2 linked regions of the Neurospora crassa OR74A genome follow. The protein of the gene in region 2 interacts with the protein of the main gene of each other region in a biochemical or structural test. Links are inferred from orthologs where the notes say so. Each region holds a gene or a part of one and is shown on either strand. Other genes may lie near its edges. The genes, in order: NCU07058 and NCU03808.

Region 1 (3,880 bases), on a different chromosome or scaffold from region 2:
AAAAAAAGGGGAAAAAAGGGGTAAAAATAAAAGGGGTAACAAACCTTCTTAACCCGTCCCTCCTTGATAATCACCCCCTTGAGCTTGAAATCCTTCCTCTTCTCCTTCTTGACGCCCTCCACCTTGGTGACGAACCGGCCTGTGTGCCTCTTCTTCTCGCGGTTGGAGATGCCCTCGCCTACCCAGCCGCCCCAGCCAGGAAGCGTGTTGTCGATCTCCTTGTCGTCGTCTTCCTTCTCCACTTCGGCCTTTTCGCGGTTAAAGTCGCCTACGACGTCCTCGCCTGCAAAGGCACGCTTGATGAGTTCTTGATCGCGGATGGCGAGGGGGAGATGGATCGTTTCTTCGTCGTCGGAAGAGGAGTCGTCGTGGGTGGTGGTGGCGGGAGCAGAGGACTTCTTGTCCTTGGCTGCTGCGGCGTCCTTGGACTTGGGCTTGGGCTTGGAGGCGAGCATGGCGGCGTTGGAGAGGTCCAACTCGCCGACGGAGACCTTGGCGGCCTTTTTGGTGCTCTTGCGACCTTCTTGGGGAGCCTTGGACCAGGCACCGGCGACGGAGGCGGCGAGGGAAGTGTCCTCGACTTGGGTGGTGGCTGCTTGTTGTGGTGTTACTTGGAGATTGGACATGTCGTTTGTGATGTTCTTCTTCTCCTTCTTCTTCTGAGCAGCCTGCTGGCCGGGGAGTATGATCTCCGTCTTGCCCATACCGAACTGCCTCCGACCGATGTCCGTCTCTTCGACATCGTCAGAGTCGTAGTCGGAATCGAGGTCTCGGCGAATCTGCGCAATCATCTCATCGTTCTCCTTCCTCTTCTGGGCTTCGCCGCGTTGCATGAACTTCATCTGCATCAGCCCCGACTCGACCTCGCCATCCGCGTAGGAAGCAGCGTGCTCGAGCTGTTCCAGCAACCGTTTCTTGTTCTTCTTCTCATCGCCAGACTCGGCAGAGTAATCGTCGGAACCACTGTCTTCAGAATCCTCCTCGCCCTTTCTGCGTCCCTCGATCCGGCGGCGCAGCTCCTCCTTCTGGCGAGCAGCCTCTGTCAACCCAGCGCGGAAGTTGTCGTCCCACACTGCGCGACCGGCCTTCTTGCCGAGCTTGGCCCACTTGCTGTCCCGGTGACGAGTACCGACGCGCTCGAGGGCTCGCCTCCTGTCCAGAGCCTCGCGCTCCTCTTCTGAATCAATCTCTCCCGCCTCAACCATGGCATCATGCATCTCCTGCTCGTCGTGGAGCAGCTCCTTGCGATGAATGCGACGGTACGCCTTGGACTTGATCTTCTTGATGCGCTTCTGGCGGGCCTGCTCGCGCGAGAACAGCTCACGCTCGCGGCGCTTCTGACGGGTGATTTCTTGCATCTCAGCGGCCGAGAGACCCTTGCGAGCGGCAATCTCCTCGACGTTATCCTGGTCCTCCTTCTTGGGCTTGTTAGTGGGTCCCAAGCCGGATTCCTCCATGATGGCCAAGATGGTCTGTTCGAGCTCGGTACCCGCCGTGGCCTTGGTCACGGGAAGGAGTTCTTGACTGTCGAGGCCGGCGTCGTGGGCATTTTGCGCGAGGGGGAAAACCAGGTGATCCGCACGGCGGTTGTGCTTGACTGTGTCGATCCAGCGCTCGAGCGTCTCGGAGGTCTTTTCGTAGGCGGCGGAGCGGAGGAGCTTGTCTTGTTGCCTCTTTGCGAGGGGGATGTCGAGCTTCTTGGATTGCCCAGGCTTGGCGGCCTTTTCCTCCTTGTTCATGAGCTTGAGAGACTTCTTCATGTGGGGGTCCTGGACGCCAAGGAGGCCGAGATCTGAGAGACTGAGTTTGTTTGTTGGTTTCGAGCCTGATTGCTCCTCGTCGTCGTTGTCGTCGCCCGCAAACCCGGAGATCATCTTTTGGAGGTCGTCGAGCTTGGAAGGGTCTTCCATATCGTCGTCACTGTCTTCGCTTTCGCTCGATTCGCTGTCCGCGTCGTCTTCCGATCCTGACTCCTCTTCGCCCTCCTCCTCCTCGCTGCTTTCATACTGATCCAGTGCTGTGGCGAGATCGATGGCGTCGGAACCGAGCGACTCCAAGTCATCGTCCTCATCTTCGTCCTCTTCCTCCTCATCACTGTCGTTTCCACCCTTCTTCGCCTTCTTGCCCTTCTTGTTGGAGCTGCTCCCGCTGAAGGCATAGCCATCGAACTTTTCCTCGTCGCTCTCACCAAAGGCCTCATCAGAGTCGAGTTCGGAATCTTCGTCATCAGCGCCTACACCAACGTGCCACTCCTCGCCATCGCTGTCCTCGCCACCGTCGGAGAAGCCTTCGAAATCGTCGCTGTTTTTGGCCTTCTTCTTTTGTGGCCTGGCGTCCTCGAGATCTTCCTCATCCTCGTCTCCGTCCTCATCGTCTTCGTCGTCGCCATCTCGTTGTCTCTTCTGGGGGCGCTCTTCGGGCTCGTCGAGGTCTCGTGTGCGGACGCCCTTGGCTTTCTTTTGGGGGACTTGTTCGGCGGCAATAGCGAAGGCGTCGAGGACGTTGTTTCTGGATTTCCTATCGGCAGTCTTGTTGTTGACTCTGTGCTTGGGACGCCCTCCGCCGCCCGACTTGGGCATTAGAGGCCTGCCGTGGGCTTGACGGCCGGGCATTTTGCTGGTATTTGAGAATTGACTGATTGGAAGTCGGAAGGTAATTCAGTCAATTAAGTTCGAGGTCGAGCAAGCAAAAATTGGGTGATGAGATTGTCGACGAAGTCCAGTGGTTGGATGGAATGAATCGATGGATGTCAATGTCCAACTTTTGCCTGCACGGGTCCTGGAGGTCGAAGTGGTCAGGTCCCTTCAACGGCAACTCCCACCAAGCCTTCAACTTTCTGCCAGTGAACAAGCTCCCCCGAAACTTTTTCTGCCGCCTCTGTAATCGATAATTTTCGGGCGGTGAGGGCGCAACACCCACCCATTTTGCGGGGCCGCAGCAGGCTACAGGGGTACCTGTTTCTCCCAGCCTCACGTCATTGGCTCAATTGAGCTCCAAACTTCTGAAATGGCTCCACCTCAACCCGGCGCGGCCCCGGACGTCTTTGCGATTTCTCGATTCCAACCCCGTCGCCCGTCGCCCGTTGCCCGTCGCCGTCCGTGTTGTCCAGCGCCAGTCCGAGTCCGAGTCCGAGTCCCGTCTCCGTTCCTGTCGCGTGCGCCGGATCTTCAACACTCTAAAGCGGATCCCGTCTCCGTCCCACTTGCGCCCACCTCAACCACCCTCACCACAGCGAGGTGCTTCCACCACCCAGATCACCGACCACAAAAAGCAATTCTCCGTCGTCGTTGCCCCGCAAAGCGCAATCCTCCTAGCCCACCATGCAGCCCACTCGCATCCTCCAAGGTCTCAAGTACCGCAAGTTGCGCCTGACCACCAAGGACGTCAACAAGGGTTTCTACAAGGGTAACCGCACCGGTTCCATGGGTACGCACACCAGCTACGGTACCTACAAGATCGACTACACCAAGGTCCGCACCTATGTGTGCCCGGACCTGACCGGTTTCAAGGTGGGTGGTCCTCTATTTCCGTCCGGGTTTGGGGTTGGAATGGGATGTGTTGGGGGATCTGGTGCTAGGGGAGGGACCGAGAATGGAGGACAAAAGAGAATAAAAAAGAATTATGCTAACAAGATCCAACAACAACAAAGCTCACCCCCTTCGTCTCCAAGACCATCCGCCCCGTCCACGACCAGTTCCCCGGCGACAAGCTCGGCCCCAAGAACCCCGCCACTTACCTTGCTCGCTGGAAGTCGGAGAACGGTCTCGACTAAACGGTCGTCATTTTTTCAAGGAGGGAGGAGGAGGACATTACGATACCAGACCACGGCGAGGAAATGGAGCGAGGCTCACTCAACTATCAAACTACCAAACGCAATATA
Region 2 (3,914 bases):
TCCACCCAATCTCGAAACTCTGGACGCCACTGACAGGATCGAACTTTCTCTCCTTCGACCTTCCAGTGTCGAAAACGTACTTGATGCCGGGAATTGTCAAGGATGTTTCAGCGACGTTGGTAGCCAGGATGACGAGACGGTGGCCCTCTGGGGGCGGCTCAAACACCTTCATCTGCTCTTTCGTGGGGAGCAAAGAGAAGAGAGGTAGGATATGCATCTTCAATGGCCCTGTACCAGATTCTTGGTCCTCAATCTCGAACTCCTTGTCTTCCTCCTCGTCCGACGCAATGGAGATATCGTCATCGTCTCTGTCGTTGATGTTACGGTCATCCTCAACGTCGCCAAAGTCGATGTCTTCGACTTCCATGGGTGCCTCCTTCGCAGAAATCCGCACCTTGGTGGTGCTGGCGGTGTTCATACCGCCACCAAAACGCGCCTTCAACCGCTTGCTGAGCTGGGCAATTTCACCCTGACCGGTCATGAACACAAGCATGCCACCAGGGGGCAGTTTCCTGTGGCCCCTGCAAATCTTGCGGAATGCCTCATCAACGTAGTCGTGGTTTGTCTTTTTGGCAAAATGCATGGTAACAGCATGCTCACGGCCTTCTACCTCAATGATGCGAGGAGTGGTGTGGAACAAGTTAGAGTTTTGGGTGAATTCCTCAACCCTGAGGGTGGCGGACATGATGATCAGCTTGAGAGGCTTGATCGTGGGGTCTTCCTCCGCCAACTCTCTCCTAAGCTTGACCACTCTGCTGAGCATCGCAATCAGGATATCGGTATTGACGCTTCTCTCGTGGGCTTCATCAATGATGATGGCAGAGTACTTGCGAAGAGCAATATCGATGGCCGCCTCACGAAGCAAGACACCATCCGTCATGAACTTGATGGCCGTCTTGGAGTCAACGGTGCCTTCGAATCTGATTTGGTAGGAAACCACATGTGAATAGTCTCCCATTTCTTCGCCAACACGCTTCGACATACTGACAGCAGCGACACGTCTCGGCTGGGTGACACCAATCATGCCAGGAGTAGGTCCATCCGGAACACCGTAACCGGACTCGAAGAGGAACTGGGGAACCTGCGTGGTCTTGCCGGAACCGGTGGCACCGCAAATGATGACAATGTCGTTGTCGTGAATGGCCTCCATAATCTTCTGTTCCTCTGCAACAACCGGTAACCTGAAACGAGTTTCCTGGATCTCGGGTGTCCTGGTAACTACCACGGCGAAAGCCTTGCGGGAATCGTTCTTTGTTGGTTGCAGCTCGATAGGCAGAGGCTCTTGTTCGATCGGCCGAGGCGTAAAGTTGGCAGGTTTCGGTATCTCGAGAATGCTTGATTCAGCAGGCTTGTAACCCAAAGCTTCGTTCCTCGCCTGATGCGCCCAAGCCTTGAAGGCTGAAGACTTTGCTTTCTTGTCCTCCTCGGCGTCCTCCATGTCCTCGTCGGATTCTTCCGCAGAATCATCGTCTTCTGAATCATCTTCGGAACCCTCTCCGTTCTCTTCAGATCCATCCTCTTCTCCCGATTCCTCCTCCTCCTCTTCACTGCCTTCTTCCTCGCTGCCTGAACCACTACCCTCAGACTCTTCATCGTCTGAACCCTCTTCGCCCTCCGAACTGAAACCGTCCCATTCTACCACTTCCGGCACAGGAATGACTGCGGGAGCTTGCGATGATGTAAAGTTGTGCTTCGTTTTCACACCTCCTCTCTTTTGTCTCTTGGCAAGTATTGGGCGTCCTGACTCGTCGACCTCTAAGGGGCGCTTGAGACCAGCACCGACAGGTACTGGCAGGCTTGTTGACGATGTCGTCGCTTGTACTGGTGTAGGCTCGCTTGTTTCCGCTGGCGCGCTCCTTGGCTTCTCGGCTGCCGAGTCCTGCTCATCTTCCGAGCCCTCTGAATCCTCGTCGACCGTGGGTTTAGGCTTTGGTACTGGTGCACCTTCCTTCACCTCTCGCTTTTCGTAAAGTTTCTTGGCCGCCTCCTTCTCTGTTATAAGTCCAGCTTTTGCTTCCTTGACAAGCCGGCTGAGCTCCTCCTTTTTGGTCAATTTTGTTTGGCCTAGTGATTTTGTGCTTGAGAATAGGGAGGTGTCGATCTTGTTGGCGGCAAGCTTGGCCAGGAGTTCGCGGTTCTCGTCCTTCTTGAGCTTTGTGTCGATGTACTTTTCGAGTCTCTTGGCCTTCTTGCTGCTGACCTTGACACCCGCAGGCCTCAATTCCTCCCGTAGCTCGGTCTTCTTCTTTTCGGCATCCGTGGTGGTTTCCTGTCCAGGAGCGATCTCGAGGACGTTGGTGTCTTCGGGGTCTTGTGTTCCCTTACTCCTCGACCGCTGGCGATCAAGCTGCTTGCGCTTGCGCTGACGCGGCACGAACTTCCCGTCTATGACAGCCATGTTGTTGTTTTATCGGGTGTGCTCGAGGCGAGCAGTGACGGCAGAAATGAGGGCCGGTGTCGCGACGGCAGAATGCAACGAACTGAAAGTCACCAAGTACCCTGAAGATTTGAAGATTAAATCTTGTCCGCCTGGCAGAATTTCTGCGCTAAATGTGGCACCCCACGTTTTGGGGGCCTGTGAGGGTCCAGGACAGCAACTGAAGTAACCCAGCTACAGTGCGCGTACAGTTTGCTATGTTTCGTGGGTCCATCCTGAACTCTGCAGCCCAGCCCACTCCGGCTCCATCAACAAACATCACGATGGAGTCCCGCGTCTAAACTCTGAATATGAACGCAGTAGAGACATCAGAGAGTACTATCCGACCAGGAGTACAGAAGCCGAAGTTATCCCCCTACGGTCTTATCCTTTGAAACACACGCGGTTTTTCGAGTCTTGCAACTGTCCATACTTCACCACATCCAGAACTCACCATGTCTGAGGACGCAGTCAGGCAAGAGCCATTCCCGTCACCTTCCAGGCAGGCAACTGGGCTTGTCAACGGAGTGGAAACTGAGGTTTCATCAATGAACTTCTCGGACAAGATCATGGTCACCATTTCTCAAGGTGGGCGCCTTGCTCAGTGGGTAGGTTCAAGAGCGCCCGAACGCCATCCCACTTACAGTCTACTAACATACCATGTTCTAGGTCCAAGTACAACTAGCCGCACCTTCTTCCGCGTCAGTAGACATGGCTCTGCCTGGCGCCGGTAGCCTGTTACCATCAGAACATTTAACAGCAACGACTCTTCTTGGAGGTGGAAATGCGGAGAGGGAGACCATGGGCCAGCTTTATGCCAGTCAAATTGCCAGTCTCCTGACTTTGCGCAACCCCAATGAGCAGCGGTCTTTGTTGCTTGGTTTGGGCCTGGAGAAGGTCGACACCACTACTAGTGACTCCTTCTATGACGTGGTCGAGTTGGTACAACAAGTCCTCTAATAGTAAATGTCATGGAGTGAACGATATCTCGCAGTAACAAGTTCGAGTTGAGGCTATCGCGATGAGCAGTTCTGGTGAAGCGGGGAGTAGAAACCAAATGTGTGGTTATCGGGAATGAGCATGTTCGCAACTCGGTGGATGTGGTCGGCTGAGAAGATGTAAGTGAGGGCTGGTCTGTCTTAAGGCAGGTTCTGGGAAGACAGGGGAACGATGGCTGGGCTGCTGGCCAGTTTAATCCTAGAGATGTAGAACACAGAACAATGGAGGGCAGTGAGCCCGATCTTGCAGCAACACAAAAGATGTGTGTCAAACGAAAAGCGACTCCAGGCAGATCGACAATTTCGAGCAAGGATCCAAACAGGATGATAGGATGATAGGATGATGTTGAAGGCAAGAGGGGCTCAAGTGGACGAGCTGAGGGACAAGGCTTAGCCATAGACCCTAACCCTGCTTGATGAAGCGGAAATATGTGGCTTGTCGAGCTGGTAGGCTGGCCTTGGCACACAGCAATTGCAGCGAGAGGAACGGTGTGGCTTGA

What was found.
Region 1: the proteins of NCU03808 (region 2) and NCU07058 form a complex in vitro, tested with the Saccharomyces cerevisiae proteins (3 studies listed by BioGRID). The link is inferred for Neurospora crassa OR74A from reciprocal best matches to the Saccharomyces cerevisiae genes ECM16 and UTP14.

What each region holds. Positions count from the first base shown.
Region 1 is NC_026506.1:332,064-335,943, forward strand, and holds the start of NCU07058 (small nucleolar ribonucleoprotein complex subunit Utp14), read right to left. Parts: upstream 2,870-3,880; 5' UTR 2,613-2,869; coding exon 45-2,612; intron 1-44. Other genes in the region: NCU07057 (hypothetical protein), read left to right, coding at 3,321-3,509, 3,650-3,772. UniProt on the Saccharomyces cerevisiae protein: Involved in nucleolar processing of pre-18S ribosomal RNA.
Region 2 is NC_026505.1:2,474,118-2,478,031, reverse strand, and holds the start of NCU03808 (pre-mRNA-splicing factor ATP-dependent RNA helicase PRP16), read right to left. Parts: upstream 2,468-3,914; 5' UTR 2,399-2,467; coding exon 1-2,398. Other genes in the region: NCU03807 (hypothetical protein), read left to right, coding at 2,872-3,024, 3,086-3,376. UniProt on the Saccharomyces cerevisiae protein: Probable ATP-binding RNA helicase. Required for 18S rRNA synthesis. May play a role in restructuring of the pre-rRNA.